Cricetulus griseus: one gene and its partner. The protein of the gene in region 1 purifies or fractionates together with the protein of each later gene. This does not show direct contact. Links are inferred from orthologs where the notes say so. Each region holds a gene or a part of one and is shown on either strand. Other genes may lie near its edges.

Region 1 (14,789 bases):
CAATCCCATCCACTTCAGCAGTGGCCACATACCCCATGGGGCCCTCCCTGAGATTGATGGGGTTGATCCGGTTGCTCCTGAGTGGAACTCAAGCAGGTGGCTGTGATGGTGTTGATGGACCTCCAGGATCTAGATGGTCAGTCCCTTGTCCTTGAGTCTCTGGCTTCACCCGTATCTGCTATTAATAACCCAGAGGCTGAGTGGCAGGAGGAAGTGTCGCATGCTGGAGGAAGCAGCTGGAGAGTTTGGGTGCTGGTCCTAGAGACTCCCCCTGAGCCCATCATTGCCCTTGATCCCAGGATCCTAAATAGTCATGGTCCCTACTGACTCGGTAAGGGAAGAGATTCCGGCAAATAGACAGTCGAGTGAGGGAATGGATAAATGAACAAATTGCCTTCAACGAGCCAAACAAAGACGCTCCTTGAAATCTTTTGACATTTAGAACTTTTAAGCTGCGAAGGCTTCTAGTTTATTAATGCTTCAAGTATTGTCATTTTGCAGCAGCTGGGAGTAGGGATAATGGATTGGATGGGGAGATGGGAAGGCTGGGGTGACGGTGGAGGGAGGGACCTTGGCAGGTCCAAGCCTCTGGGAGCGCTTGCCATCATTCAGTCCTGTAGGTAGCTGTGCTTGGTACAAACCCCGGGGCCTTCTTTGGGAAAGGCTCCTAGTTACTGCAGATGCTTTCACAGTTGTTAGCCATTGTTAGCACTCTGTGCCCAAGTCCCCTTGGTAGAAATAGTCTGGGTGTGACATTAGCTTCAGCCACAGAAAGCCACAGGGCTGCAGATGACCCGCCCCAATTCCCTTGCCTCCACTGAGCCAGAGGGAGGAAGCATTGATCCCAGAACAAACTGAATACCCAAGAAGGGGGGACCCCAGAGCAGGCACTGGCTCCTGCCCTCTAGCAGGTCCTGTTTACCCTCAGCACACAGGCCACCTGGCCCTGCCTCTGCCTACAGCTGTCACTTGCTCTCACAGGGCTATGGATCCCGTACTGAAGGCCATCAAGGAAGGGGATGAAGAAGCCTTGAAGGTCATGATCCAGGATGGGAAGAATCTTGCAGAGCCCAACAAGGAGGGCTGGCTGCCGCTCCATGAGGCTGCTTACTATGGCCAGCTGGGCTGTCTGAAAGTCCTGCAGCAAGGTGAGGGCCAACTCTGTAGGGCCAGCAGGGACACAGGGCTCTCCCTTGGTGTGGGGGGCAGGCAACATATACATAGTTAAATCACTGTGTTGGGGGAGGGTGGACAAGCCCTGCCCCTGCCCCTGCCCCTGCCCTGCCCCTGCCCCTGCCTGCTGTGGTCTCTCCACAACTTTCAGACAGGAAAACCTAATTCCTAGAAACGGAACAGGGAATAGCAGAGTTCTGGGACAGCCACTGCCAACTTGTTTCAGAATGTTCCAGGGGATGATTTGGTGTGGAAAGAACCACAACTGTGCCTGTGTACTACCAAGGCTGTCCCCACCAACTGTGGGACACTGGGCCAGTTCTGCCTCATCTCCAAATCCCATCTTCCTGTTAGGACAGATTAGAATAAATGATATCAACAGGCAGGTATTGCCTTGACCATTGAATGGCTCCGACTCCCACCAGCCACACTGGGACATGCTAGCAGTGACCAAGAGGGCAAAGAAAAAAATAGAGACTCAGAGCTAGAGGCTCAACCTGGTGAGGCTTCCCAGAGGAAGTGACATTGAGTTGCATTTCTACAAGCAGGGCCATGAGGGGCAAGATGAAAGCCATCTGGGCTTGATAGATTTCAGAAGAAGCGGTTCCACCCTTGCTCAGAACTGTGAGGAAGCCAGAACATGTGTGGGTAGTGTGGCTGCCTTCCTTCTTCACAGATTTCCCGCTCTTCCCTAGCCTACCCAGGGACCATTGACCAGCGCACACTACAGGAGGAGACAGCACTATATCTGGCCACATGCAGGGAACACCTGGACTGCCTCCTGTCGCTGCTCCAGGCAGGGGCAGAGCCTGACATCTCTAACAAATCCAGGGAGACTCCACTTTACAAAGGTAAGTCCCTAGGATGGGCTTCTCATGGACCAGGAAGCCTGGAAGCCAAGTGGGCAGCTTACAGACTACTCCCAGGATTATACAGTTCTGAGGGGTCCACTGTGCAGAGGGTAATGCCCTTCCAAGACGCATGGGGACATGTTAATCCAATCTTGCATTTACACATGGGATCATCCAGTATTTCTCATGTGTCCTTCCCCAGGTCAGCATGCTGAGGGACACTGAAGCCTTGGGATGAAAAGATATGACATATGTCTGTGGGCTACACCAAGCATGAGCACTTACTCAGACCACCGGCATGTAGATCTTGGCAGGAGGAGGGATGGGATTGTGTGGAGGGGGTACCTCTTAGAGGGATGCCTGAGTTGAGTCTCACCAGGAAGGGGTTAACCAGCTGGCCAAACTTTGGGGACAGCATGGGCAAAGGCCAGAAGGCAGGAGAGACAGTGCACACCTCTGCTATGTTTATGTAAGCAAAAAAGTCACCTGACTGACTTGGGACTACCTCAAAGTTATGCCCTGACTGCACTAGCCAGGCTCAGTGTCAGTAGATGGATGATCCATCACAATAGCTGGCTCCTTTGAGGGCTGTGTGCCAGGCGAGGCACTTTCCTTAAGCCCCATATTCATCTCTACACTCGGTAAGCGTTGCTAGTGCCTCCATTTTATACATAAGGACCAAGGCAAATCTCCTGTAGGTTAGGCATTCAGCACACATAGTATTCTGTAGGAAATGAGGGCCCGAGAGAGCAGGCGTCTGAAACTGACATGGGAGTGTCTTCTATGGGACCCTTAGTGGTTACCTGGGACTTCAGCTGTCCCAAAGAGAACTGTAGGATAGGAAGCCAGCTAAATACTAGCCAGTAGCTTGGCCCTATCATGTGCCAAAGCCCCAGGCTGTGTCCTGTGTGTGGCCTCCTGTGATTCCCTCCCCCCCCCACCTCCTCCAGGAAGGCTCTGCCATGTGGTTTCCAGGGAGAGCACCAGGGCTTATGATGTGGAGAGCCGAGACCCGTTGAAACTCAATAGGCAGCTGCTCCCCTGTGTCCGGCCTCCTCCCCAGGGAGGTTTGTAGAGCTGTTAATTGGCTCATATGCCTTGGTGACTCTAATGCCTTCTATGGCTCCCAGGTGAGAACTAGGGGCCAGAGCCAAGGTCACATTTAAGATCTTTTGACAGAGGAAGCAGAATGGGAGCTTTGAGGAGGATGAGAAAGATGAGTTATACTCAGAAGATAATGCTAACCCAAGTTGAATGTGCATTTTTGCTGTATAGATTCTTTCAGCCCTAGTGTCTGACATAACATTGAAAAGGATAATTAATTATGAACCCTTTAGAATATTCTAGGGGGCAGAGTCTCTGGATGTGGCTCTCTAGGTTGGAATCCCAGTTCTGACTTTTACTCCCTGTGTGACCCTGAGTAAGTCACTTACCCTCTCTGTTTCACCTTCCTCATTTACGGATGTAGGTATTGACATTGCATTCTTCAAGGGTAGTTGGGAGGAGTTAAACCAGTAAACTGCCAAATCTTCAGGGCCACCCTGACTATCTGTCTTCTGCCTGGTCCAGCCTGTGAGCGTAAGAACGCAGAGGCGGTGAGGATATTGGTGCGATACAACGCAGACACCAACCACCGCTGCAATCGGGGCTGGACTGCACTGCATGAGTCTGTCTCCCGAAATGACCTGGAGGTCATGGAGATCCTGGTGAGCGGCGGGGCCAAGGTGGAGGCCAAGAATGTCTACAGCATCACCCCCTTGTTTGTGGCTGCCCAGAGCGGGCAGCTGGAGGCCCTGAGGTTCCTGGCCAAGCATGGTGAGTTATCACAGGGTACCCTGGCAAGGACCTCAGAGGTCAGCTGGGAAGGAAAACTGTGTGTCATCTTGTGGGCATCCTCTGATCCAGGGCCTTGCAGGGCTTTTCAGAGGATCCTGAGGCTGTGTTTAGGCTCAGTGGAGCTGCTGTGAGGAGATGCTGGTGTGCTCGCCGTTACACACAAGCCTTGTACCATCTCTGGTCCAGAGCAACATCCTCCTTTCGCAAAAGAGGAATCTGAGGCCTGGAAAGAGGAAGTGACTTATCTACAGAATTAGCTGAAGGACTATCTAGATTCTTGGGCTCTTGATGCCCCAACCACGGTTCTTTCTGCTACGTCACACTGTTGGGCCGGAAGACCTCAGATGTAGATCACATCCTTGTTTTGCAGGTGATTCAAACAAAGGACCAGGGTGAGAAAGTGATTTGTCCAAGATCACACAGTAAGTTCGTGATAGACATGGGGTCTGAACCCAGGTCTCTGCCCTAATTTCCCATGAAAAGAAATCTTAACTGGAGAAACTAAAACAGTACCGTTTGTGCCATGGTGTCCCAGTAGCAAAGACGGAAAGACCACACCTAAAAAAGCTTTGTATTTTGACAACTCCCCGAACTCCCCTTGGATTTCTTTTCATTCTCAATGGAAGGAAGATTCCCTTTGAACACTGGGGAGGTTGAGGCTATGCAGACCTTGGAGCTGTGCCACAAGAAATGGTTGAGCACCTTCTGTGTGTCAGACCTCCTGCTAAGCATGGACCTGTGATGGGTAGAGTGTGAGCTGGGCATCGTCCTAGCTCCTCTATAAACACGAGGAGACTGAGGCTCGAGAGGCTAAGTGACAGCTCATAATGAGAGCCTGGAGTCCAGCTTGTGTTTGCACATGGCCAGCGTCTCAGCCTAGAAGAATGACCCTGGGCCTTCGTTGGGACAAGAGGCCACATCCATAGTGTGTCGGGACAGACTGAGGCTCTTAGCCAGGCATAAATCTGCAATGAACACTCTGAGAACACAGAGGCCAAGGTGGAGTCCTGGAGCCCAGGCCAGCAGGCCATGCTGAGGGCAAGAGCACAGTGGGTGAGGGGGACTCCCCTTTCTAGGCAGCTGTTCTGTCCCCTGCCGACACTGAGGCAGAGACTGCTCCCTTCATGGGGGGGCTAAAGCCAGTTCCTACACAAATATTTTCCCTGTTTGATCAGGCTGCTTTGCTGACAAGCCTAGGCCTGCTGGAGAGCCTGACTCCAAGCTTGTTGAAGGTACCCCTACTCTCCCTCTGAGGGAAGGGCAGGACCAGGCTCTGTCCTGAGCTCTGCCCAGACAGCTGGCATAGGCTGTGCAGCTTCTAAGCCTGGTACTGTGCTGATGTTATCTTCTTTACACCTTTTAGTAACCATGAGAGGGCAAGACCATGATCCTGGTCAACATACAGGTAAACTGAGGTTTCTAAAAGCTACCTAGGGCCCCAGAGCTTGGGAGTCATGAAACAAAACTTGAATGGTCCCAATGGGCCATCAAGGCTTGTGCCCTTCTCTCAGGGCCAGAGTGAGCTTCACTGCTGTTGAAAATGAAGTTATCAGAAAGGTGAGGCAAGCAGATGGCTCTGTGAGGGGAGTTGTGGTTGACACAAGCCTTTGATCTCAGCCTTCACAAAACACGTCAGCTCATATGCTTCTGTAGCAAAAGCCTAGTTTCCTTTGCATAGAAATCATGTGCACACTGGTTCTCTTTCTCACCCCCATGAGATGCAGAAGATGTAGAAGACTGAGATGGAGACAGGCTGCCACCAGGCTTTAGTCCCCTTCCTGCCAGCATGGTTCAGTGATTCCTTGCTTTTTTAAATTTATTTTTACTGTTTTTTAGTGTGTGTGTGTGTGTGTGTGTGTGTGTGTGTGTGTGTGTGTGTGTGTGTAATTACCTGCAGAGACAAGAAGAGGGTACTGTTTCCACTGGAGCTGGAGTTACAGTTGGTTGTGGCTACTATAGGAACCCAGTGTCCCCTTTAAGTGCATGATCTTCACCACTGAGCCATCTCTCCAGTTCCTCAGTGATGCTTACAAGCAGAAATGAAGCCATGTCTCTATTGTTTCTGATGGAGAACAAAACAAATCCAGGGCTCGGGATGAGGCTCCACTGGTAGAGTGCTTGCCCAGCGTGCACAAAGTCCATGGCCCATCTCCAGCATCGCAAACAACAGTGTGGTGGTGTGTGCCTGCAATCCTATCATTCTAGAGTTGGAGGCAGGATGATCAAAAGTTCAAGGTCATCCTTGGCTACATTTGGAATTCAAGGCCAGCCTGGGCTACATGAGATGATGCCTCAGACCAATCAACTGTGCCAAAATATCCATCAAATGCAAATTCAGCTAACAAAGCCAGTGGGGTTTTCCTTTGGGAGCTTTGTGCTTAGCTGGAGCTGAGGCCACCATGAGGGTACAGCCTAGGGCCCTCCACGGTAAGGGCTGAAAGCCTGGTCTCCATCCTGCGGCCATGTGAGTTCAGGTTTGGCTTTACATCCATGAGTGGATGTGTCCTAGTCTCTGATGAAAAGCCTGCCCTAAGGTAAGCTTTGACCTCCCAGGGTTCTATGTGAATTCAGAGAAATAGTGTAAGAGCGTGGCTGCGTGATAAAGAACTTACTGTAGCTTTGACCTCCCAGGGTTCCTTGTAGATTTAGATAGTATAGGCATGGCACAGCACACAGCAGTTGTTAGGTAAGAGGTGCTCACCACATGATGGCACTGAATCACTGGTCACTCGCAGCTCTGCTTCTCTCTCTCTAGGAGCAGACATCAACACGCAAGCCAGTGACAGTGCATCAGCCCTCTATGAGGCCTGCAAGAATGAGCATGAAGACGTGGTGGAGTTTCTTCTCTCACAGGGAGCTGATGCCAACAAAGCCAACAAGGACGGCCTGCTCCCACTGCATGTCGCCTCCAAGAAGGGCAACTACAGGTCAGTCCAGGCAAGGCCATCATCTTGCACAGCACAGTTCTCCAGGGATGTCCAATGAAGGCAGAGTGGGGCAGGACACCTGCTTCAGTCTGTCCTCAAGGACAGGAAGGCCAGAGGCTGGCAGGGTGAAGGATACTTTCCTTGTGGAAGGTTTCAATGACCACATGTGACAACCACCATGCTAACAAGAGTACATGATTGCATGTGTGGTCCTTCCACTGCTTTCCATAGCCAACTCATTTAATCCTCTCAAGGGCTTGCTGAGGAGGAGGCCGTGGTGACCTCTTTTTTTTAGATGAGAAGCCCTTTAAGATAAATAGAGGTTGAGTCATTGGTCTACACAGCTTGTAGGTGACAGGAATTCACCTGCTTCAAATGACCCAGCTAATCCTACTTAGGGAGCAGAGAGGAGTCTGAACTCATGACTTTTGTTGTTGTTGCTGGGGTGGGAGGGTGCAGAGATAGCCTGCAGGGCATCCTAGCAAGCAGCCAAGGATGCCTACAGCAATGCAGAGGGACCAGTCACTGGGTACTTCCCTGTACTTCATGTTCAGGTGGGAGAAGCTCAACCTCTCTGGAAGCAATTTGCAGGAGGGAAGGTGTGCATTCTCTCTCTCTCTCTCTCTCTCTCTCTCTCTCTCTCTCTCTCTCTCTCTCCCTCTCCCTCTCCCTCTCCCTCTCCCTCTCTCTCTCCCTCTCCCATGCATGTGTACCTACTCTCTATGTCTGTCTGTCTCTCTCCTTCTCCCCCTCCCTCTTTCCCTCTCCTCCCTCCCATCCCCCCCTCTCTCTCTCTCTCTCTCACACACACACACACACACACACACACACACACACACACACACACACACACACACACACGATGAAAGAGCATACAGTCCTAAGTTCCATGGTGGCCCCAGTAGAAAAGCACTGTTAAGTACCAGAGCAGAATGCACTGGAGCCAGCCTGTATCAGCCCATGCAAGCAAGCCCATTGCAGGCGTTGTCCCAGCAATGTTCACTCCATGGAGTAAGCTTCTCTCTGGAATCCCCAACATCCCACTCATCCAAGAGACAATTACTTAGAATTTTCCACTCACACATGGGTGGGGAAGGATGCTTGGCAGGTGGGATGCTGGCTGTTCCTGAGGACAGACACTTTGGTCATTTCTAAAGTGTGGCCTCATTGCCAAGCTATGGGATTCAGGTCCACAATGATGGCTCCTTTTACAGTACAAGAAACTGACACCCAGTAGCTAAAGAACCTTGTGCCTCAGTGGGCCAGCACCCAGGCCTAAGACTTAAGCCTCGGAAGTCAGATACTTTTCTATTGGCTGGGTGGTTCCCAACTGTGGACCCTGGTAAGCTTCTTTCCATTTTAGACAATTTTCATTACTTTTTCAAGATAGGATTTGTTTTGTTTTGTTTTTTTTTGAGACAGGGTTTCTCAGTAGCAGTGTGGGAGCCTGTTCTGGAACTTGCTCTGTAGACCAGGCTGGCCTCAAACTCACAGAGATCCTCTTTCTCCACCTCCCAAGTGCTGGGATTAAAGGTGTGTGCCACCACTGCCTGGCTCAAAGATGGTTTTTAAAGTACATCTTTTTTCCTAAAGTTGTTTTCAAATGAAACATTCACCACAGTGGTATAGTGGGAAGATGATTTACGGTTACTAGAAAACCCATGCCCTGTGCCTGGGTTGCCAATCTGGGAAACGCTCTAACTGCTCAGGCTGGCAGAAGAAAGCGAACAGATTATGTTTGGCATTGTCAGTAAGGTGGGGGTGTATATAGGGAAAGAGGAACGTCCACAGAAAACAAAGTAAAGGCCCAAGGAGCCTATACTGTCCCTCAGAGCCCCAGGTTTCCCTGTAAACTATCTTCATACGCAACCAGTTTCCCCGGGGGCTGCCCAGTGAAGGGTTAAAGTTGGATCTCCGGCAACCTCTGCCACCTGACTGGGCCAGGGCTCTTTGCTCACACCCTGGGCATGTGGCAATAGAAGCCCTCCCCATGCTGGCCTCCCACGGGCTAAGCAGGGATTTGATGTGACATTCCATAGGCATTCAGCCACCTGCCAAAACACTGCCTAACCAGGGCCTGGAGCTCAACGCCTGGAGCCTGAGGCCATTTGCCAGATGTGCCAATTCCACAGAACATGGGGTAAGAGTGCTTGGGCATGGCTTAGTCACCGAGGGGCACATTTTCTGTCTTCTATTCCCAGTGTGGTGCAGGGACCTTATGAACGAAAGACCAGAAGAATGGGGTAGACTTCCAAAGACCCCGGGAGCTGGACAAGAATGTGACCAAGGGCCCGGAAAGCAGGGGTTCCTGACCTCGGCTCTGCAGCCCTGATCCAGGCCCCACCTTAGCCCAGTTTATGGCACTGGGATGGCCTGGAGTAGATTGCCTGAGTTTCTACATGGTGACTGAGTGAGTTCCAGGAGCTTAGCACCTCTCCTGTGGCCAAGAGAAAACACGGGGTTGTATTTTGGAGTTCATGTCTGACCCACCATCATTAAATACCATTCTCTATACACGTGTATGATATGTGTGTGAAACACACGTCAGAGCTGACCGCGTGGTTCAGTGTGCTGGTAGCAGTGGTGGTTAGTTCCTGTGTGACAGGGTGAATGCTGACAAGGGTCAGGCCACCATGACCTTTTGACTAAGGGCTCCTCTGGCTTGGAGCAGTAGGCTAGGGCTGTGTCACTGTGCTCGGGACGCTGACTTCCAACTGCATTCTAACTTCGTACTGTGTGCTGATCAGACTAAGGCATGAGGTGTTATCTTAGCCTCCAAAGCAGGCTTGGCAAACAAGATGGTAGGTTGTGCTTTGAAATGTGGGTGCAAATCCCACCTTTCTGGGGTGTATGAAGAATAAAGGAGACAAAAGCACTAAGGTTGTGGGGTCATTTCTGATTTAAAGGAGTGACTATCAAGAGTGCTTTAAAGGGCGCCTGGCACACAGTGAACGCTTGGTGGCATAGTCATTGAGACTTTGAGGGTGAAGTGTTCCTAGCATCAGGGCCTCAGTGAGGGCTAGCTGTAGGTGTCGTTGTCATTGTCATTCAGTGTAATCTGTTGTAGGTGTGGTTTAGAGAGCTTAGTGGCATGCCTGAGATGGCCCAGCGTGGACCTGGTCACCAGGTCCATCTGGTTCTGAGCCCTGATACTCCCTTGTTGCCTATGCTGTCCCCTACACTCCACCCGACAAAGAGAGCTAACTGGAATTGAATACCTACTCACTGCTCCTGGGCGGGGTTAAGGCAAGCCATCAGCACTCACGGTGAGACTATATATGTATTATATATGTATTACATATATAACGACTATATACATTATATATTATATAACATATATATAATGTAATAAATAATACATGCTTTAGTAGTTTTCATCTTCACTAGTACCCCAGCTCTAGGGCAAGCAGAATGGGGGTTTCAATACTGAGAGGACCTGGACTGGGGTCCCAAGTCAGAGGCTGCCAAGTAGCCAGATGCTGCCCAGGGCCTCCCAGAAACAGCCCTGGGCTGGGTCTGTTTGGCTTTCTGGGATAAGTCAGGGAATCCCAACCTATTTTGGCATCACCTGCTTACTTCCTGCCCTCCATCCCACAAAATGACCTGGGGGAAAAGAGTCCTCTGCATAATGGGTTGTCCACATGGGCACTCTCCGTGGTTAGAAGTAGGAGACCAAAACCAGGCATGGTGGCATACTCCTGTGATGTCAGCACTTGGTAGGTAGAGGCAGGAGGATCAGAAATTCGAAGTCATTTGTGCCTGTGTATGAGTTTGGGGCCAGCCTGAGCCATAGAGACCTAATTACTTAATTAATAACTTACAAAGAGGCAGGCACCACAGAAAGTCCTGGCCCTGGGTATTCAGCGCCCCCACACTGCCCTGGCTTGCTGCCTGTCTTTATTCAGACACATTTGCTTCTCAACTCCAGTCCGGGGTCTCCATTTCCACCCTCTATAAAATGGCAGCACTGTCCTTTTCTCCTTCGGAGCTGGCCAGCACAGCACACCAACCCTTGACGCCTCAGTCCTAGAGAAGTAACCAGTGACCTGATGACTCACTGAGTTGCTGACTCGATGCTTCTGGGACTCGGGGCAGGGATTGTTGAGTTCCCACATTTCTGCCCCTTTCCTGGCCTGGGCAGGGAATCCTGGGAGACCAGCTGGGGCCTGCAGAGATCCCAGCCCATGGGCCAGCAGCCCAGCCCACCCCTGTCCCTGTTCTTTCCCGTGCTTGGGCGCGTCACGGCTGTTACCCTGCATTTGTTGGTCATGGCGGTGGTCCAGGGGCCCCAGCCCTGCCTTTGACCAGCACCTCTGAAGAGGAGGTCAAGCCCCTGGAGCCTGCACAAATAGAAATTAGGAGGCAATTAGCTCCCCTGAGTGTGTGAATCTCCTTCTGAGGTCTTAGAGGCAGATCTTAGCCAAAGGCAGCATCACCTATGACAACAAAGCTGTCCTTGGAGAACCCAGCAGGAGGTCGCTGGCATCTCAGTTCCAGGAAGCCAGAGGCAAGGACAGTGCCAGGAGGCAAGAGGCATGAGAACTGGCCTGGTGGCACCTGCTTTCCCCTCCCCATTCCCCAACATGGCCACCTCCTTAGAGCTCTACAGGGAGGCTGTGAGGTCACCTGTCAGCAGGGCTTCGATGAATCAGGGATTGAAATCAACAGTGTAAAGACTTGTTCTAGAAGGTGGCGGGGATCCAAGGGATGAGAGCCAAGATGAGGGGTCCTGGGGTCAAGAGCTGAGATGAGAGGTCCTGGGGTCGAACCCCTAGAGCTGTTTATTCTATGACCTCTGGTTTGTCGTTGGTTTTCTGAGCCACGTCTGTTAAAAAGATAGACACAGCTTGTTCTGGATACCCCATAGGGCTACGGTGAGGATAAAATGGGCCAGGCAAGTTAACACACTGTGAAAATTGCAAAACCCCATGACCTATCAGCTGTCACCCTGATTGCTCCACCAGAAGTAGGAGAGTAGTTAAGAGCGTAGTCTAAAGGATCAGACAATCTGAATTCAAATCTTGGCGGCCTCACTTCCTGGCTGTGTGTCCTTGGGGATTCTCTACCTTCCCTGGGCTTCCTCCTCTGTAAACTGAAGACTCTTAGGAATACAATCTCAAGTGTCCCCCCAGGAGAACTACGAAGTTTAATAGGTAGAGAGTTGAGATCAGTGCCCAAGCCGGCAGTCAGGAGCCAGGGCAGTGGGACCTCCAGCCTTGGCAGTGGCTGGCTAAGCTCTCCCTGTCCAACATGGGACTGTTGTTACAGTCTGGAGCTGGAGTTTCAAACTTCTGTGGGCTGTCCTGTGGGAGCTGGGACGGTTCTGGAGCTGGGTCCTCTGGAAGATTACCCAGAGCTCTTAACCTCTGAGCTGTCATCTCTCCATCCACAAGCATCCTTTTATTTAAGGGGCTGGAGGAGCTGGTGTTACACATTCAGGAGGAAAGCCGAATAATGCAGCAGAAGAGAACGAATCACTTGGGCACAGTAGATCAACCAGTCTGGGGCAAGAGTGGTTGAGACATTTCTACCTTTCTGGCTCCTTCCCTCCCCTCACCATGTCTAGAAGTTCCACCAGATGCCAGTGTAGCAGGAGAGGGAGCAAAGATAATTCAGCCCCAGAGTGTCCCTCCCAGTAAGTCCCTTAACCGTTTGAAGCCTCGATTGTTCTCTTCTGCAGAGTGGGGGCAACAAGACATGCTTTATGGGCTCTTGTAACGATAAAACAGGGCAAGGTCTGGCACCAGATTTCAGCATCCAGCTCTATGTACTATTCCTGCAGAGTGGTGTGGACTTTCAATGGGTGTGAAGGGCTTCCTGCCACTTTCTTCAGATTACGGAGAGCCACCATCTTTATCATTAAGGATCAATGTTTTGTCTGCATATATGTCTATGCACCATGTGTACGATTGGTGCCCGTGGTCACCAGAAGAGGATTTCATGTCCTCTGGAGCTGGAGTTACAAACTGCTGTGGGCTGTCCTGTGGGAGCTGGGACGGTTCTGGAACTGGGTCCTCTGGAAGTTTACCCAGAGCTCTTAACCTCTGAGCCGTCATCTCTCCATCCACAAGCATCCTTTTATTTAAGCTCGAATGAGTCCATGAGAGATGCTTGAAACCACAGCCCATCTGGCTGAGTTTTTTTTTTTTTTTTTTTTTTTTTTTTTTTTCTTTTTTTCTGGCTATGGGACTAGGTGGGGAAAGGCCAGCTGAGCATGGCTGGCCCCTTGGCGCCCCCCGCTGGCCGGGCCATGCACATGCGTGCCGTCTCCTGACCCGCACGTGCCTGCCTTCCACAGGATTGTGCAGATGCTGCTGCCGGTGACCAGCCGCACGCGCGTGCGCCGCAGTGGCATCAGCCCCCTGCATCTGGCAGCCGAGCGCAACCACGACGGGGTGCTGGAGGCGCTGCTGGCCGCGCGATTCGACGTGAACGCGCCTCTGGCGCCCGAACGCTCGCGCCTCTACGAGGACCGCCGGAGTTCCGCGCTCTACTTCGCCGTGGTCAACAACAACGTGTACGCCACCGAGCTGTTGCTGCTGGCGGGCGCCGACCCCAACAGCGACGTCATCAGCCCCCTGCTCGTGGCCATCCGCCACGGTTGCCTGCGCACCATGCAGCTGCTGTTGGACCACGGCGCCAACATCGATGCCTACATCGCCACGCACCCCACCGCCTTCCCCGCTACCATCATGTTTGCCATGAAGTGCCTGTCGTTGCTCAAGTTCCTCATGGACCTCGGCTGTGATGGCGAGCCCTGCTTCTCTTGCCTGTATGGCAATGGGCCGCACCCGCCCGCTCCGAGGCCCGGCCGCTTCCACGACGCTCCTGTGGACGACAAGGCACCCAGCGTGGTGCAGGTGCATGGAGGGAGGGGACAGGCGGGTGTCAGAGAAGGCAGGGTGGGCCGATAACCGTGCTCCCGAAGCAGGTTGGTTGGACTAGTGGTTATGGCAGGTGGAGAATGACCCCTGCTTGCAGTAGGGTAAAGGGATTGGATGCGAAACTCCAGGGTCAGTCACCCGTGGAAAACATTCAGCGGACAGGAAGGGGACAATGGAGCAGGCTGGTGTAAAATTCCGGGGAGGCTCTAAGACTCAGGACCGCCAGGCAGGTGACGGGTTGGCCTGTCTGTAACCCCGATGCAAGAGTAATGAGAGAGTCAGGTTTATCTCCGGCTACAGAGTAACTTAAAGGTCATCTTTAACGACTCGGTGAGAGTCTATCTCAAAATAAAGCAAAAGAGAGCCCGGAGAGATGGCTCAGCAGTTAAGAGCGTGTAAGGCTCTTGCAGAGGACTGCAGTTGGGATTTCAGTACATACCATGGGTGACTCACAACTACCTGTAACTCCAGTTCAAGGGGCTCTCCTGCCCTAGCCTGTGGGGACACTCATGCTCACATACATTCACACACATATGCAGAAGATAACTAAATGTAAAATAACTCTTAAAAAGTAAAATAGAGTATAAGAAAGAGCATTGAATGATGAAGTAGTTCACCCTCTGTCGAATAATAAAATAATAATAATAATAATAAATATAAGAGCATGTGAAATATACAGTTTATGTTCTTAGAAAAAAAACAACTCCTTGGAGTGAATGTCATGTGCACAATTTATAGGCAAGGAAATGGAAGCTCCGAGAACTGAGGGGACCAGCCCCACTCATCCATCTTGCATGTTAGGTGACAGATGCCAGTGCTAACAGGGGCCACACTGGAGGGGGATTCATAGAAGGAAACCTGGTCAGATCTTAGACACCCTCCCGGCCACCTGTCTGACATCCCCTCTAAGAGTGGTGTGCTCCTTTTTCAGTTCTGTGAGTTCCTGTCGGCCCCGGAAGTGAGCCGCTGGGCGGGACCCATCATCGATGTCCTTCTGGACTACGTGGGCAATGTGCAGCTATGCTCCCGGCTGAAGGAGCACATCGACAGCTTTGAGGACTGGGCCGTCATCAAGGAGAAGGCAGGTAGGGCTGTGGCTGCGGGTACCAGCGTCTCCT
Region 2 (15,353 bases), on another chromosome or scaffold:
GCAGATGGACCTCTGTGAATACAAAGCCAGCCTGGTTTAAACTGTGAGTTCCAGACCAGGTGGAGCTACATAGTGAGACCCTGTCTCAAAACAACAAACAAAAGCCCGGGGTGGTGGCCCACACCTTTAGTCCCAGGTTTGGGAGGCAGAGGCTGTCGGAACTCTCTGAGTTCTAGGCCAGCCTGGTCTACACAGCTAGTTCCAGGATGGCCAGGACTACACAGAGAGGCCCTGTGTGGGAAAACCAAAACAAGGCAACAATAAACAAAACCATGACGAAAAAGTTAAGGTCCTAATAAATTTGAAGTGTAAAGAAATCCAACAAATAAAGAAATAAAGAAATAAAGAAATCCAAGATGCGGGGCATAGGGGTACACACCCTTAATCCCAACACTCCGGAGGCAGAGACAAATGAGTCTGTGAGTTCAAGTCCAACCTAGTCTTCAGAGAGTTCCAGGCCAGCCAGGGTTACATAGTGAGAAAAACCTTATTAAAAATAAATAAATAAAAAAGCAGAAGGAAGATAAAGAGAAGAAAATGGAAGGAAGGAAAGAAAAAGAAAGAAATAGAAATCCAAGACTCCCATGCCCAAATTGAGACCCACTGAACCGGATTCCTGGATCTCTAAAGTCGTGACTTGTACCAAGTCACACACACCTCCTGTGGCCAGGCTTTTTGTAAGATATGGAGGTTACGGTGATGGAAGAGCCTTTTCTCCCTACTCTGATAGTTCACATTTCGGAGAGAGGAGTCTAATGAAGGCAGAAACAAGGTGATTTCCGAGAGCTCCGGGTTTGGTAAAGAAGGACGCAGGGCAAGGCTCTCTCACTGTCCTCTGCCAGCTCTGCAGTAAACGCCCGAGGCCACCACGGACGATCAGCAGGCCCCGCCCCTCCCGCGTGACGTCAGCGGGCCGCGCCAGGCCATCAGCGCCGCCTTCCTCTGGCTGCGCGGCGGGACCTGCGGGAGGCGCTGTGGCGTGCATTTGGGCCCTAGTGAGCCGCCATACCTCCCGCCTCAGCGCCCAACGTCCGCGTCGCCGTTCTGCGCCGCCGCCATGGCCGACGTGGAGGAGGGCGAGGAAACCTGCGTCTTGTCCTCACACAGCGGGACTGCGGGCTCCAAGTCGGGGGGCGACAAGATGTTCTCCCTCAAGAAGTGGAACGCGGTAGCCATGTGGAGCTGGGACGTTGAGTGCGATACCTGCGCCATTTGCAGGGTCCAGGTGATGGGTAAGCAAAGCGCTGCACGCGAGGCCGGGGCCGTGACGCGGCCTGCTGGGCGAGCTTCGCGGGCGACGGGGGGGGGGGGGGGCGAGCTGCCCGCGCTGGGTGAGTCCTGCGGGGAGGGGCGGGGGGCGTGGCCGAGGAGACAGCTGGACCGTCTCTCGGAACCCGTGGGAACCTCCGGGGTTGTGTTGGTAGCCCAGCGGCCCGCAGACCTCACAGCCGAGCCCTCTCGTGGATCTAAGCGTTCATTTAATTAATTAACTAATTAATTGATTAGTTAATGATTTTGGGGGGGAGAGACGCTCATGTTTCCCAGGCTGGCTTGGAACTTGCCCATTTAGCCGAGGTTGGCCCTGAACTCCTGGTGCCCCTGCCCGCACCTTCCAAATTCTGGAGATGACGAGCCTGCGCCACCGTGCGGATCTTGTTTCATGGCTCTGTCGCCACCGAAATGATGCGCAGCCATTTGTATGGGTTCTCTGCAGCTATTTGGCTGGCTTTTAAAATTTACATTGACCGAGTCAGATAGAGCTCGCATGTCTTGAGGCGAGGGACAAAAGAGTATTTTAGATTTATGGGAATCCAAGGATAGAAAAGCCTTTGCTTGATTCAGAAACATGAAACTTAATTATGTCCCCTTCCCACCCTTTTGTGCCCTTTCGAAGAACCTTCTTTCATTAGTAGTCCATTTTTTTGTTTGCCTGTTTTTTCGAGACAGGGATCCTCTGTATTATTTTGGAGGCTGTCCTGGAACTTGCTCTGTAGACCAGGCTGACCTTGAACTCACAGAGATCCTCCTGCCTCTGCCTCCCAAGGTGTGCACCACCAACGCCTGGCCTCATTAGTAGTCCAACATTTTAGTATTTTGAACGAAAATGTTGGACCAAATGAAACGTATCAAAAAATCGTAATCTCGTTGAGTTTTACATAGTTTAAGAGCTCAGCCCACCTTGAAAAGAACCCTGTTTCTGTCAGTTTCTCTTGGGGGGGGGGGGGCCTGGTGGTTGTTGACAGGGTTTCTCTGTGCTGACCAGGCTGGTCTCAAACTCAGATAACCGCCTGCCTCTGCGTTTCTAGTGCTGGGATCAAAGGCGTGTGCCACCATCGCAGCTCTTATTTATTTCTCTTTTAGACTCATTCAGTCTTGTATAGTCCAGGGTGGCCTTGGACTCCAGATCTTCCTGCTTCCTCCCAAGCGATGAAATTTGTAGAAATGTCTGTGGCATGATGGGGATTGAATTCCTTCAGGCTAGGCAAACTACCAACTGAGCTGCATCCCAGCTTAACATAGGTTTCCAAAGTGTCGGTTAACACCTGTAATGCTCTGGAGGCCGAAGCAGGAGAGTTTGAGACCAGCTTCCAGCAAAAACAAAAAAACAAAAAACCAGGGGCTGGAGAGATGTTTCCGAAGAGTGAAGATTGTCCATACAGATTTCCCACACCCACATGGCAGTTCACAACCCTCTGTAACTTCAGTTCCAGTTTATCCAACACTATTCTGGCTTCAGAGGGCACTAGACACATACGGTGCATAAATGTATGCAAGTAACATAAATTATGTGAGAGTTTATTAAATTGCTGTGGGCTGCAGAGATGGCTCAGTGGTTAAGAGCATTGACTGCTCTTCCAATTCCAGGGAATTGGACTTGAGTTTAATTCCCAGCACCCACATGGTGGCTCACAACCATTTGTAATGCCAGTCTTAGAGACCTGAGGCCCTTCTCTGTGGGCATTGCATAAACATGGTACACAGACACACAGGCAGGCACAACATGCATACACATAAACTATTAACTGGGAGTTGGTGGTGCGGGCCTTTAGTCCCACCACTCGGGAGGTGAGGCAGGATCTCTGCCTTCGACAATTCTAGCATTAGAGTTCAGAGACCACCAGAGCTGGAGCCAGGCACAGGTGTGTCATGTGCTTGAGCCAGTGTGAGAAGAGGGAGGGAGTAGTTTCAATCCACACTAGATGTTTATTTTTATTATTATTTTTTTTAACCTTTTGAATGCCTCTAGCCCTGGTACTAGCAACACATTGTAACAAAGCTAGTTGTGAACTCACAGGGGTCCTCCTGCCTCGGCCTCTTTCTTTCTGGATCTGGAGAAATGGCTCAGTGGTGAAGAGCACATACTGCTCTTAACATACTTAGCACCAAAGTTGTGCAACTCACAAACTGCTAGTAACTCCAGCTCCATCGGTATCCAGAACCTCAAGGGCACTTGCATGTATATACCCACATTTAGGCACACATACATAATTAAAAACAAGCCTTTTCTGTCAGTGTGAGCCTCCTTTTACCTGATTTGCACTGCTTATACATTTAAAGAATGAATCAGTTTCATTGGTCCCTAAAGTATTGTACAGATTGAATTTTAGAAACTTGTAGCATACTCTTAGGTTTCCATTTCTAGTGTTTACACTTAAGTAATTTATTTAAGTACTTTGGCATTGTGTGAATACATTGAGGATTGGGGGTTCGGGCCTTCCTAGGCTACATAGTTTGAGGCCAGCCTGAGCAACATGAAACCCAGTCTCAAAACAAAGGAAAGGAATTTTGCTTACAAAAAAAAAAAGAAAAAAGAAAAGAAAAAAAAAAAACCGGCACATGCCTGTAATCCCAAACTTTGAGTAGAGGCAGGATTTTAAGGTCATCGTCTGCAGTGTGGCAGTTCAGGTTAGGGCTAGCAGGGGCTGTGTGAGACCCTATCTCCAAAACAAAAACCTTTATTGATTCCTCAGCGGATTCTAGATCTTTATGTGTGTATGAACAAATAATGAATGAGTATAATCACAATTGTGTCTAACGGTTGGTCTGTGTGAGTGAGCAAGCTGGTGAGCTTACAATAATTTGTTATGGTATAGTTGGCATCTTTGAGTGACTTTCTCTAATGCCACTGCCAAACTATCCTGACATATGAACTTGTAAAAATCATCATTAGCCCTTGTGAAACATTGGTCATAAGTGAATTAGTAGAATGCCATGTATTTTATTTCTCTTTAAGTAGTTATTTTTAGATGAGAAACTAATAATACGAGACTCTTATCTTCATCTCTGATCCTCGGGGCTTTTGTTTGACTTTGAAGATCTGGGTTTCCAGTGTTGCCTCCTGTACCTCAGATGAGATTTGCTTTGTTTGCTTTTAGATGCCTGCCTCAGATGTCAAGCCGAAAACAAACAAGAGGACTGTGTTGGTATGTGGTAATTCTTCCTCCTGCCTTTTCAATTGGAGGTTTTCTTCCATCTCTGTGGGAATATTTGAATTTAGAATTAAAATTGACTTTATTAAACTGGCCTCGATAACCCAGGCCTGTAAACCCAGAACTGGGAAGGCTGAGGCCAGCTTTCGCTATGTAGTGAGATCTGTTTTCCAAAAAAGAAAAGAAAGAAATGGCTTTGTCAGTACATAAAAAACCATAAAGCAGTAATTAATTATTATTACACATACTCAGACATTTTAGAGGCTGGTAAGATGGCTCGAGGGTAAAGGTCCTTGACTCTTAGACCTGATGACCTAAATTTGATCTCTAGAACCCACTTAAAAATGAAGAGAGCTGACTCCACAGAGGTCCTCTGACCTCCATGGGAAGCTGTGGCATGCATGCCCTATCCTATACACTCAATTAGAAATAAAAACAAAATCAGAATTAAAACTAAAAGGGAAAGAATTCACCCATCTTTCTAATAAATGTTTTAGTTCCCAAAAAACTTAAATGAGATCAATTTACTAAGCAGAAAGAAATACATTTTCTGCTAAGAAAACCACAGGGCCAGGAGTGGTGGCACACACCTGTATTCCCAGTGGATTGCAGGAAGGTCACTGCAAGTTGGACACCAGCCTGTTCTATCTTATTGAATTCCAGGCAAGTCATGGCTGTGGAGTGAGACCCTGTCTCAAAAACAAAAAGAAAAGGAGGAAGTAGCACAGAAGGGAGGGAAAAAAGAAAGAAAGACAGATTTCAAGACTTGAGCATGTTGCCTACATCTGTAATCCCAGCACCTTGCAAGCCTGAAACAGGGCAATTACCATAGCCTACATAGTGAATTCCAGGCCAGCCTGGGCTGTATAGCAAGGCCCTATCTCAGCAAAGAACCCTGATCACAAGGGGATGCCTCTCCAGCCACTCTGCAAATCCAGCTGTCAGGTGAGGAGCTGCACTGCCTGCTGGCATGGTAACTTTTGGATTGGTTGACTGCTTTTGGGTTTTGGTTTCCATGTGTGGTCCTGACTTGACACTTGCTATATAGTCAAGTCTGGCCTTTCACTGATCCATTCCCTGTGTTGGGACTTCAGGACCACACCCAGCTGGAAGCATAATTCATCACTTCTAGAAAAACAGCTCAGTAGATGTGCCATCAATATCTGATGATGCTTCCATGCCTACTATCTGTTCATAACAGCCCCTATAAGCTGAGAGCTTATAAAATGTTGTATCTTGGTAAATAAAAACAAGGAGGATGTTATAAAGAAAGGAAAGCACAAATGATCCCTAAGTGCACCCCATGGTTGAGGAGGTCTGGGATCTACAACAGACTCAAATCCTTTAATCTCCTAACTTCAGAACACAACAAGCAGAGCTGTTTAGGAACTAGGGGTTGTGACTTCACTCCCAAAACACAGTGGTACTTTTTATTTGTTTGTTTTGATTTTTTGAGATAGGATTTCTCTGTGTAACAGCTCTGGCTGTCACAAGAGAGAGATCCATCTGCCTCTGTCTCCCAAGTGCTGGGATTAAAGGCAAATTTCACCACACCCAGCCAGTGCCATCCATCTATCCATCCGTCCGTCCATCCATCTATCTTCCCTCCCTCCTTCCTTTAATTTTCTTCTCATTCATTTGTCTTTCACATCATTCCTCCTGATCCCACCCATCTCCCCCCCATTTTTTTTTTATTTTTTATTTTTTTTTAGAAAAAAGGAGAGGGGAAAAAGGGAAATCTCCTCATGGAAGCTGCAGTGTGGTATAGTGAGTCGTGCAGTAAACTTTATAATTTTACATGCAGGGTTCATCCCAAAGAATAATTGGTCTGGTTTGAGGCCCCTGGACTCTGCTACATACCATCAATGCTGGGCTCTCATTAGGATTCTTCCTGGACATCCCATTGCTGTCCTGTGTCATGGAGATCCTCCAGCCCCGGGTCCACAGGACCGGTGTGTGTGTACACACAGACACACCCAGGTCATAGACGGGATGGGTATTAGGTAGACCAACACATAGCCCTGGTTCTGGGCTTCAGTAGTTGGCAGGGATGGTCAGCCCACCAGCTCGCCCTCGTCTTCACCACCAGGGTGAGCTCTCCTGCATTCAGTGGCATATTTCTTAAGTTCAACCTCACTCTACTTGTAAATATTTTTGTAGATAGAAAAAAAAAATGACCACTTAGCCAGTTTTTTTCAGGATTATAAGCCATGGCTATTTTATTGTTTTTTTTTTTAACTATAATTTTGAACTTAGTAATTTAATTTTTAAGAATATTTCAAAATTTTGCTTCCATTTCATACATTCATACAGTGTATGTTGATTATGTTCACCCTGCCTATCCCTCCCATGAACTCCCCCTCCATGTGTCCCCTCCCACCTGCATGTCCTCCTGAGCTTAACCATTTAAATTGAACTATGTCATGTCAGTTGATTGGGGGAGGTTGTTTAATTGATTGATTGGTTATTTTTGAGACAAGGTCTTGCTTTGTAACCACATTGACCTAGAACTGGCAGCACTTCTGCCTCAGTACTCAGATTACAGGCATGCACTGCATACCCACCTACTCAGCTGTTGTTTTTTATTCTTCTTCCAGTGGTCTGGGGAGAATGTAATCATTCCTTTCACAACTGCTGCATGTCTCTGTGGGTGAAACAGAACAATCGCTGTCCTCTCTGCCAGCAGGACTGGGTGGTCCAAAGAATTGGCAAATGAGAGGTAGTAGAAGGCTTTCCTGGTGTGGTTGTGACCCTGGATGATCTTGCTGCCAAGTGACCGGACGAAGGCTATAACACTCCAGCGGATCAGTTCTTCAGATAGAAAGGGTGCAGTCTTTTGAGACTCATCCAGGGCATGGCTTAGCATTTTGTCAGTTTAATTTTGAGAAGTTGTCTACAAGAAAGATAATTTATTAAAAATGGCCTTTCCTACCTCTGTGGTGTGTGTCATACATACTGCTTAGAAGAGCTATAAGAGAGAATGCCAAAAAAGGTCTGTGAGAGAGAGCATTGCATCTACTTTACAGAAGAGAGTTTCTGTGTTTATGTCTGATTGGTTTTGTTATAGTAACAAATAAAATGCATTTCGAAAATCCAACTTCTATCCTCTGCTCCTAATACTTTTTGTTAGGAGAGGGCAGCCCATGGTATCTTTATTTGCTGTAAGTGGCGATTTTGATTTTAGATCAGTGAAGAATATAAATAAAATGTAACTTTCAGTAAATGGGCCTTTGTCTCCTAAGTTCTCCATCTTTGACTCATCAAGGAAGCTTGGATCTGCACTTGCCTCACTTTTCAATCACTTAGGGTTTCTTGTTTGTTTTCCCTCGAGGCTGGGTTTCTCTGTGTTACAGCTCTGGCTGTCCTGAAACTTACTGTGTAGACCAGGCTGGCTTCAGACTCACAGAACTCCATCTGCCTCTGCCTCCAAAGTGCTGGGATTACAGGTGTGCACCCAGTTCAATCACTTAAAGAGGTATTTTCTGTAAGTTTGTGTTGTGTATTTTAATCAAAATATTAGTGGAAAAACACCAGCACAACACTGGCATTTATTATACAATATCTTAATAAATGAAATATTTTGTTTTGGGTTATTAAATTTTTATCTATGCCCTTAAACTTATTTGTTAAGTAAATTGAAAACATTGATACACTCTTTATTTGGCATTAAAACTTAATTACTTGGAAATACACAACACTTAAATTTTATCAAACTCATCCAATGAGACTGGTAAGATGTCTCAGTGTGCAGAGTGCTTGCTGTGCGAGCCTGAGAACAGACTTCTTCTGTTCCTAGAACTCTTGTGAAAACCTGGGTGTGGCAGCCCAGCCCTGGTACTTGGGAGGTGGACACTGGTAGGTGGATCCTTGGGGGCTTGCTAGCCAGCTAGCAGCCAAATTGATGAGCTCCTGAGTTCAGTGAGAGACCCTGTCTCAAAAAGGTAAGATGAGAACAGTGGGAGAAGATGAGTCATTAGCCTCTGGCCTGTGGACACACCGTACACACAAACATGTACACACAGAATCTCATTCAAAGGTGATTTGGGCCATTAAGGTTTTTTATTTTGAAGTGGTGGTTACAAATAGGAACTTCAAAGAGTCAGGCTGAAGAGATGGTTTAGTGGTTAAGAGAACTTGCTACTCTTGCAGAGGACCCAGATTTGGGTGCTAGCACCCATGTTGCAGCTCATAAGGAACCAGCACCCTCCCTCATCTGAGCCTCTGGGCACTATATTGCATATAAAATGTGGGGATGCACATACATGAAGGCAAGCACTCATGCTCTTAAAAAGTTTTTAAATGTGTTTAGAACAAAAATCCAGAGTTAACAGAGGGTTTCCTCAGTGGGTGACAGTTTGAGATAGGGTCTCACTAGAGCCCTGGCTGGACTGGAAGTGAATGGAGGTGGGCCTCAGACTATGACAAACCTCTGCCTGTACTAGGGTTACAAGTGTGCACCTCTATGCCTGGTTGAGTTATGGTTTCTTTTATATTGGCTCTGGTTTCTCTGAGACTTTATTTTTTTCAGCAGGCCCCTGAAAAAGAATGGGTAAAATTTTTCTAAAATTTCTAGGTATTAGAAGTCTACACATTTTTGGTCATTAGTAGCTACTAGTAGCTTTTTTGACCCTTTTTGTTCTTGTTTTTTGAGACAGTTTCTCTAGTTCTGGCTGTCCTGGAACTCACCCTGTAGACTTGAACTCACAGAGATTCGCCTGCCTGCCTTTCTCTGCCTCCTGAGTGCTGGGGTTAAAGGTGTGTGCCACCACTACCCAGCTTGACACTTTTTAAAGCTTGGAGTCATGAAGTGTGAAGAAGAGTGACTCAGGTCACTTTGACAGTTTGTAAGTAAAATCTGGAGGATGATGGTAATGACTTGGTGTTCACCCAGCAAAACTCTTAACAAAGCCCTATTTATGCTACACATCAGCATCTGAGGGTAGAGAGGAGGAGGGACTGAGACAAAGTTCAGCTCCTAGGCCCATGCTGGCCTCTTACCACTCATCTACACAGCCAGCCAAGAGTTCCCGTACATACTGTTCTACCAGAAAAAAACATGGTGAGGCATTTTAGTTGTTAGTCCAAAACCAAGCAGTATTTTCTCTCCAAATGATTAAATGATATTTAATGTCTTTAATTGCATATTAGTAGACATTTAAAACTACAAAAAAATATAAATAGTGGTTAGGTTCTTTGGCTGAAGTCATTGTAAAGTTTTGTACTGTAGGGTGGTAAATAAAGTCTGAGGTATTGGCCTGTGTATCCCATGGTACCATCTCAACATCATAAGCCTCCGAATCCCTGCACTCAACTTGTTCAGTCTCAAAAGTTCAGTTTCTAAAACTCTGGAGGCAGGACTGACTTCCTTGGAAGAATCTTGGGTGTTTGGCAGATGGGGCTGCTTGCATTTTGCTGCCACAGCCTCACAGAGACACCCTAATGGCACAGGAATGAAAGAATTTCTTTAAAAGGTAAGGTTCACTTTGTGCTGGGAATTGAATCCAAGACCTTGTACTTTCTATCTGCCCAAGTGACTGCCATCCTCCTGTTGCTCTCTGTGAAGTTCAGACAGTGAACAACTCCAGCTAATACTAAGAGCCCTGAGCTGGTAAAACTCCCTTGACAGGCTTTTAGGCCTAAATAACAAATTTAAAGTTGTCTTTATTTTTTTTATTTGAAAAAGGGGTAGAAATGCTTTGTCTTTGTTTTTCAAGACAGGGTTTCTCTGTGCAACCCTAGCTAATCAGGTCCTAGCTCTAGACCAGACTAAACTCCAGAGATCTATCTGCCTCTGCCTCCCAAGTGCTGGCATTAAAGGTGTGTGCCACCAATGCCCAGGCTTTGTCATTTTTTTTAAGTTATTTTTGAAGAAGAAATAATCCTGTGGTTCTGACATGAAAATGGCGAGTCTTCTGTGTTCAGTAAGACCATGTGTAGATAATGTTTAAGAAAATTGTGTGTGATGGCACGTACCTATAGCCACAGCAACTGGGAGGCTGACGCAGGAGGATCACAAGCATGGACTATATAGAGAGACTGTTAAACCAAGAAAAAGGTTATAGATTGGAATATAAAGAAAGTAGCACCGTGCTGGGCGTTGGTGGTACACAGCTTCAATCCCAGCACTTGGGAGGCAGATCTCTGTGAGTTTGTGGACAGCCAGAGCTACATACATAAAAACCCTGTCTTTGGGGTGGGGGAGAGAATAGAAAGCAAAATGCTTGGATTCTAAACTACTCCATGTTGATAATGTTAAAGATTTATTTATTATGTGTACAGTGTTCTGCCATCATGATGCCAGAAGAGGGCAACAGATCTCTTTATAGATGGTTGTGAGCTACCATGTGGTTGCTGGGAATTGAACTCAGGACCTCTGGAAGGGCAGCCTGTGCTCTTAACCTCTCCAGCCCCTGTACAGAACAATTTAATGGTATACCAAAATACTGAAAATGCTTAATGTTTGCATGAAGTTACTCTTAGCACTTTTTACTTGTTCCGTAGCTCAGACTAGCCCCTAAGTCTTGATCCTCCTGCCTTGAAGCCTTGAATCACACAACAGTCATACCATCCCATTCTCTCATGGGTAGGTTTTGTTCAGCAGAGTATGTCCCCCAGGGAAAAGATTCTGTTTTGGTTTTTCCAGACAGAGTTTCTCTGTGGCTTTGGAGGCTGTCCTGGAACTAGCTCTGTAGACCAGGCTGTTATCAAACTCACAGAAATCCGCCTGCCTCTGCCTCCCAAGTGCTGGGATTAAAGGCGTGGGCCGCCACCACTCAGTGATTTTTCTGTATTTTGACATTCATAATTGTTGTGGTATATTATTTTAACTATGTAAAGATGTTATATTTATTTATGCAGTGGAATATTACTTCAACTGTAAAAGTGTGTTACTTGGGCTGGAGAGATAGCTCAGAGGTTAAGAGCACCGACTGCTCTTCCATAGGTCCTGAGTTCAATTCCCAGCAACCACATGGTGGCTCACAACCATCCGTTATGAGATCTGGTGCCCTCTTCTGGTGTGCAGATATACATGGAAGCAGAATGTTGTATACATAATAAATAAATAAAATCTTTTAAAAAAAACAGACCACATTCTAGGTCATAAAGTCTTAATAAATACAAAAGAATTTAAATAATTTCAAAAAAAGTGTTACTTTTGTTTATGTTGCATTTGTTTAATTTGTAAAGATGTATCTGTTTCACCTTGCCTGCCCAAGACACCTGATTGATCTAATAAACTGAGCAGCCAATAGCTAGGCAGGAGAAAGGCTAGGCAGGGCTGGCAGGCAGAAAGAATAAATAAGAGGAGAAATCTAGTCATTAGAGAAGGAGGAGGAGAAAACGAGGGAGCCACCAGCCACAAGAAGCAGTGAAAGTAAGATATACAGAAAGAAGGTAATAAGCCCCAAGGCAAAAGGGAGACAAAGAGAAACAGATTAAGTTAAAAGAGCTAGCCAGAAATGAGCCTAAGCTAGGCCAAGCATTCAAAGCTAGTAAGTCACAATGTCATGATTTGGGAGCCAGTTGGTGGCCCAAAAAGAAAAAGCCTGGTCCACACAACAGCTGAGACTTCCCAGGGGGACTGATTTTGACTAGTTATTTCAAATCTTTATACCTCAGTTTCCGTGTGTATTGTAATCCGGCCTCATTGGATTATTGAGGATCCAGGACAGTTACTTTTCTCCTGGGTGTGATTAAATACTTGACAAAGCAGTGTAAGGAAGGAAGGGTTTGTGTAGCTCAGTCTGAGGAGATATTTCATCATGGCAGGCAGGGGAGGCAGCCTGAAGCCTGAAGCAGAGATAAATGTCACTGCCCAGGTTGCTTTCTGCTTTCTGTTCAGTTCAGCACCCTAGCACATGGAGTGATATTGTCACAGTTAGTGTGGGTCCTTCCACCTTAGTCAACCCTGTCTGGAGACTCCCTCACAGGCTCTGAGGTGATTCTAGAACCTGTCAGATTGACAGTATAAACATCACAGGGATTAAGTAGGTAAACTAAGGAGCTGTCTGGTGCTGATGAGGGCTGCCGATCCTTGGCATCTGTGAGAGCTTTAGTAGAAGTGTGTTCTGTGACAGGCAAAGCCCTAAGTAAATAAATAAATAAATAAAGGCAAAAGGCAGAGGAGGAAGTAAACAGTGTGGATGCAACAAGGAGCTAGGACTTAACTACTTTCCAAATAGTTACCGCAATTTTCGGATTTATATGAAGAAAAGATTCTGTAAATATTGAAAGTTTGATTTTAGCTAGACAGTGATCATGCATCCCTTTAGTCACAGCCCTGTCTCAAAAAAGCAAAAGTTTAGTTTAGATTTTCCATTTCTGTAGAGCCTTAAGTCTTTTTTGTTTATTTTGATTGAGACAGGGTCTTGTGTACACTGAGTTGGACTTGACTTGCTGTCCTTCTGTCTCCACTTTCCAAGTGCTGCACCATCACCCAATTCATCCTAGCTGCCTTCTGCTAGAATGAAGAGTGTGGCTGTGGTGCTCTTGATGGAAACCAGGGTGGACAAGAAGCTTCCAAGTGCTGGTCTTTGCAGTGTTTGTATTCCTAAGTGTTTGACGGCAACAGCAGGAGGTGCCCTCTACTGTCACAGCTCAAGCAGGCCCCTCTTATTGGACCCCTTAGCTTTACAAGTGTTTGCAGTTCTTGTGTGTGCCTAGCAGGTCGGGATTCCTTAGCCCTTGGTGGCAGCTGGCATTGCCACTTCCAGGTAGGCCTGGGTGACAAGATTGCTCAGCCTCTGAAGCCTTTGGCAGCAGCCAGCGGTACAGTTCCTAGGTGGCATGTCCCTTTGCCCTGAAGACATGGAGCTCTCTGGAACTCTTCCAGCAACCAGAGCCTACAGTTTCCTTTTGGGGGTTCTTTATGGCCTTCTGTCCTTCAACCTGGGGTGCATTCTCTCTATTTCCCTCTATTTCCACCTTCCTTCTCTGGCTGGCTGCTGGCTCCAGCTGTCACCTCTGCCTCGGGCTGCTGCTTTGTGTTATCAGCTTGGCCCATACTGCAAAAGCAGGCAAGAAAAAAAAAAAAAAAACAGTTGAGAAAAAACAGCCTTTTATTACTAGAACTAGTGACAGTACTGGAGGAAAAGCACAGGGACATGTCTTCCAGCCAACTCACCGAGTGAGCTGGGCAAGCTGCGTACAGTATAGAGAAAAGGAGTTTCCACCAATCACACACACATCACAGGTGAACATGGAGGTTTGTGTTTGCACCAGTCCCATCTGTCTGCTAGGCCACCCCTGTGGCCTAGGTAGAAACGGTTGTAGAGTCAGCTCTGTTTCACCAAGGTTGTATGACACCAAAAACATCTGGAATTGACTTTTGAAAGGCCCTGGTTGAGGCTGAGCCTTGAGCTAGAACAGCCAACTGCAGTTCTCTAGTTCCTCATGGTGTCTGCAGTATGCAAACCGTGGATGCTGGCAGGAGGGTAGACCAGCTGGCTGTTGACTACCAACCCTTGACTCAAGGCAGCCAGGGCAGCTAGAGTCCAGCCACAGCTGATTACGGCGTCAAATTGCCCCACCATCCAAGTCTGCTTACAGGAAAGTGTGTGTGGGGGTGGGGGGGTGCAGTAAGACCATAGGAACTTACATCAACATTAATAGTTTGTTGTTTAACAAATTTTAACATGGTTTAGTACCTGCTGGGTGCCATAGGGAACATGTGCTCTGCTTCTCTGTTCCAGTCTACAGCTGTGCAAATGTATTGAGGTTTAAATTATCTTTTTAATGATGTATATCCTTGTGTGGATGTGTGTGAATGTGTGCCTCTGAGTGCCTTTGCAGGTGCCTGCAAAGCCCAGAAGAGGGTGTCAGATCCTAAGGGTGTGGGTGTTGGGAACCAAACTCAGGTCCTCTGGGAGAGTGGCAGGCACACTTAACCACTGAGCCATCTCACCTGCCTGAATTTATCTTTATTTGTTTGTTTCGAGTCAGGGTTTCTCTGTAGCTTTGGAGCCTGTCTCTGTAGAACCAGGCTGGGCTTGAACTCACAGATCTGCCTGCCTCTACCTCCCAAGTGCTGGGATTAAGGGCATTTGCCACCACTGCCTGTCTCTGAATTTACATTCTTTTGGTAAATCTTGAACTGTTACTGTGCGTCTCTTCTTATAACTCTCACTCTGCCTTTTCTATGATTACAGATACTCGTAATGTGTATTTATTGTATGCCATCTATCTGTATATGTAATAAATAAGTAAATCTTAAAAAAAATCATTTGTGTGTGTATTATGAAAACCTGTTCCTAAATCAGATGTGGTTGTGAATACCTGTAATCCCATCACTCAGGAGACTGAGGCAGGAGAGTTGCTATCAGTTCAAGACCAGGCTGGATTAAGTAATTCCAGACTAGCCTGAGCTCCAGAGTAAAGCCTGTCTCAAAATAATAATAATAATAATAATAATAATAACAACAACAACAACAACAACAACAACAGCCAGGTAGGAGTGGCTCGTGACTTTAATCCCAGCAGAGACAGGCAAATCTCTGTGAGTTCAAGTCCAGCATGGTCTACAGAGTGAGTTCCAGGACAGCCAGGGCTACACAGAGAAACCCTGTCTCAGAAAAACAGACAGACACAAATGAAAGAATAACAGAAAATAAAAGAGAATGAGGAGAGAAGGGATGGGGTGGAGATGAAGAGGAGTAGAAGGAGGAGGAAACTTGTAAAATACTGTCCGAAGTGTCAAGTCCTTGCAGCATCTTTCAGGGCCGGTTCTCTTCTGAGAGCTTTGCATAGTAACTCACTTGATCCTCTAAACCCTTTTAGGACTGGGGCTTGGCTCAGTTTGATCCCTAGAACCCAGGAAACTAAGCCATTGGTTGTCTGCGCTTACCTCAGAGCCATAGAGGCAGAGCCAAGGTGCCCAAGTTGACCTCTGACCTACACATGAATGCATTTGTACTTACATGCCAC

Evidence for each region.
Region 2: the proteins of Asb2 (region 1) and Rnf7 purify together in Homo sapiens (affinity purification with western blotting; 3 studies listed by BioGRID and IntAct, with this or other methods). This does not show direct contact. The link is inferred for Cricetulus griseus from reciprocal best matches to the Homo sapiens genes ASB2 and RNF7.

Annotation. Positions count from the first base shown.
Region 1 is NC_048598.1:102,748,944-102,763,732, forward strand, and holds part of Asb2 (ankyrin repeat and SOCS box protein 2), read left to right. Parts: intron 1-981; coding exon 982-1,148; intron 1,149-1,868; coding exon 1,869-2,024; intron 2,025-3,593; coding exon 3,594-3,839; intron 3,840-6,615; coding exon 6,616-6,787; intron 6,788-13,085; coding exon 13,086-13,647; intron 13,648-14,602; coding exon 14,603-14,756; intron 14,757-14,789. UniProt on the Homo sapiens protein: Substrate-recognition component of a SCF-like ECS (Elongin-Cullin-SOCS-box protein) E3 ubiquitin-protein ligase complex which mediates the ubiquitination and subsequent proteasomal degradation of target proteins.
Region 2 is NC_048597.1:205,059,096-205,074,448, reverse strand, and holds Rnf7 (RING-box protein 2), read left to right. Parts: upstream 1-963; 5' UTR 964-1,057; coding exon 1,058-1,232; intron 1,233-4,376; coding exon 4,377-4,424; intron 4,425-7,027; coding exon 7,028-7,146; 3' UTR 7,147-7,527; downstream 7,528-15,353. UniProt on the Homo sapiens protein: Catalytic component of multiple cullin-5-RING E3 ubiquitin-protein ligase complexes (ECS complexes), which mediate the ubiquitination and subsequent proteasomal degradation of target proteins.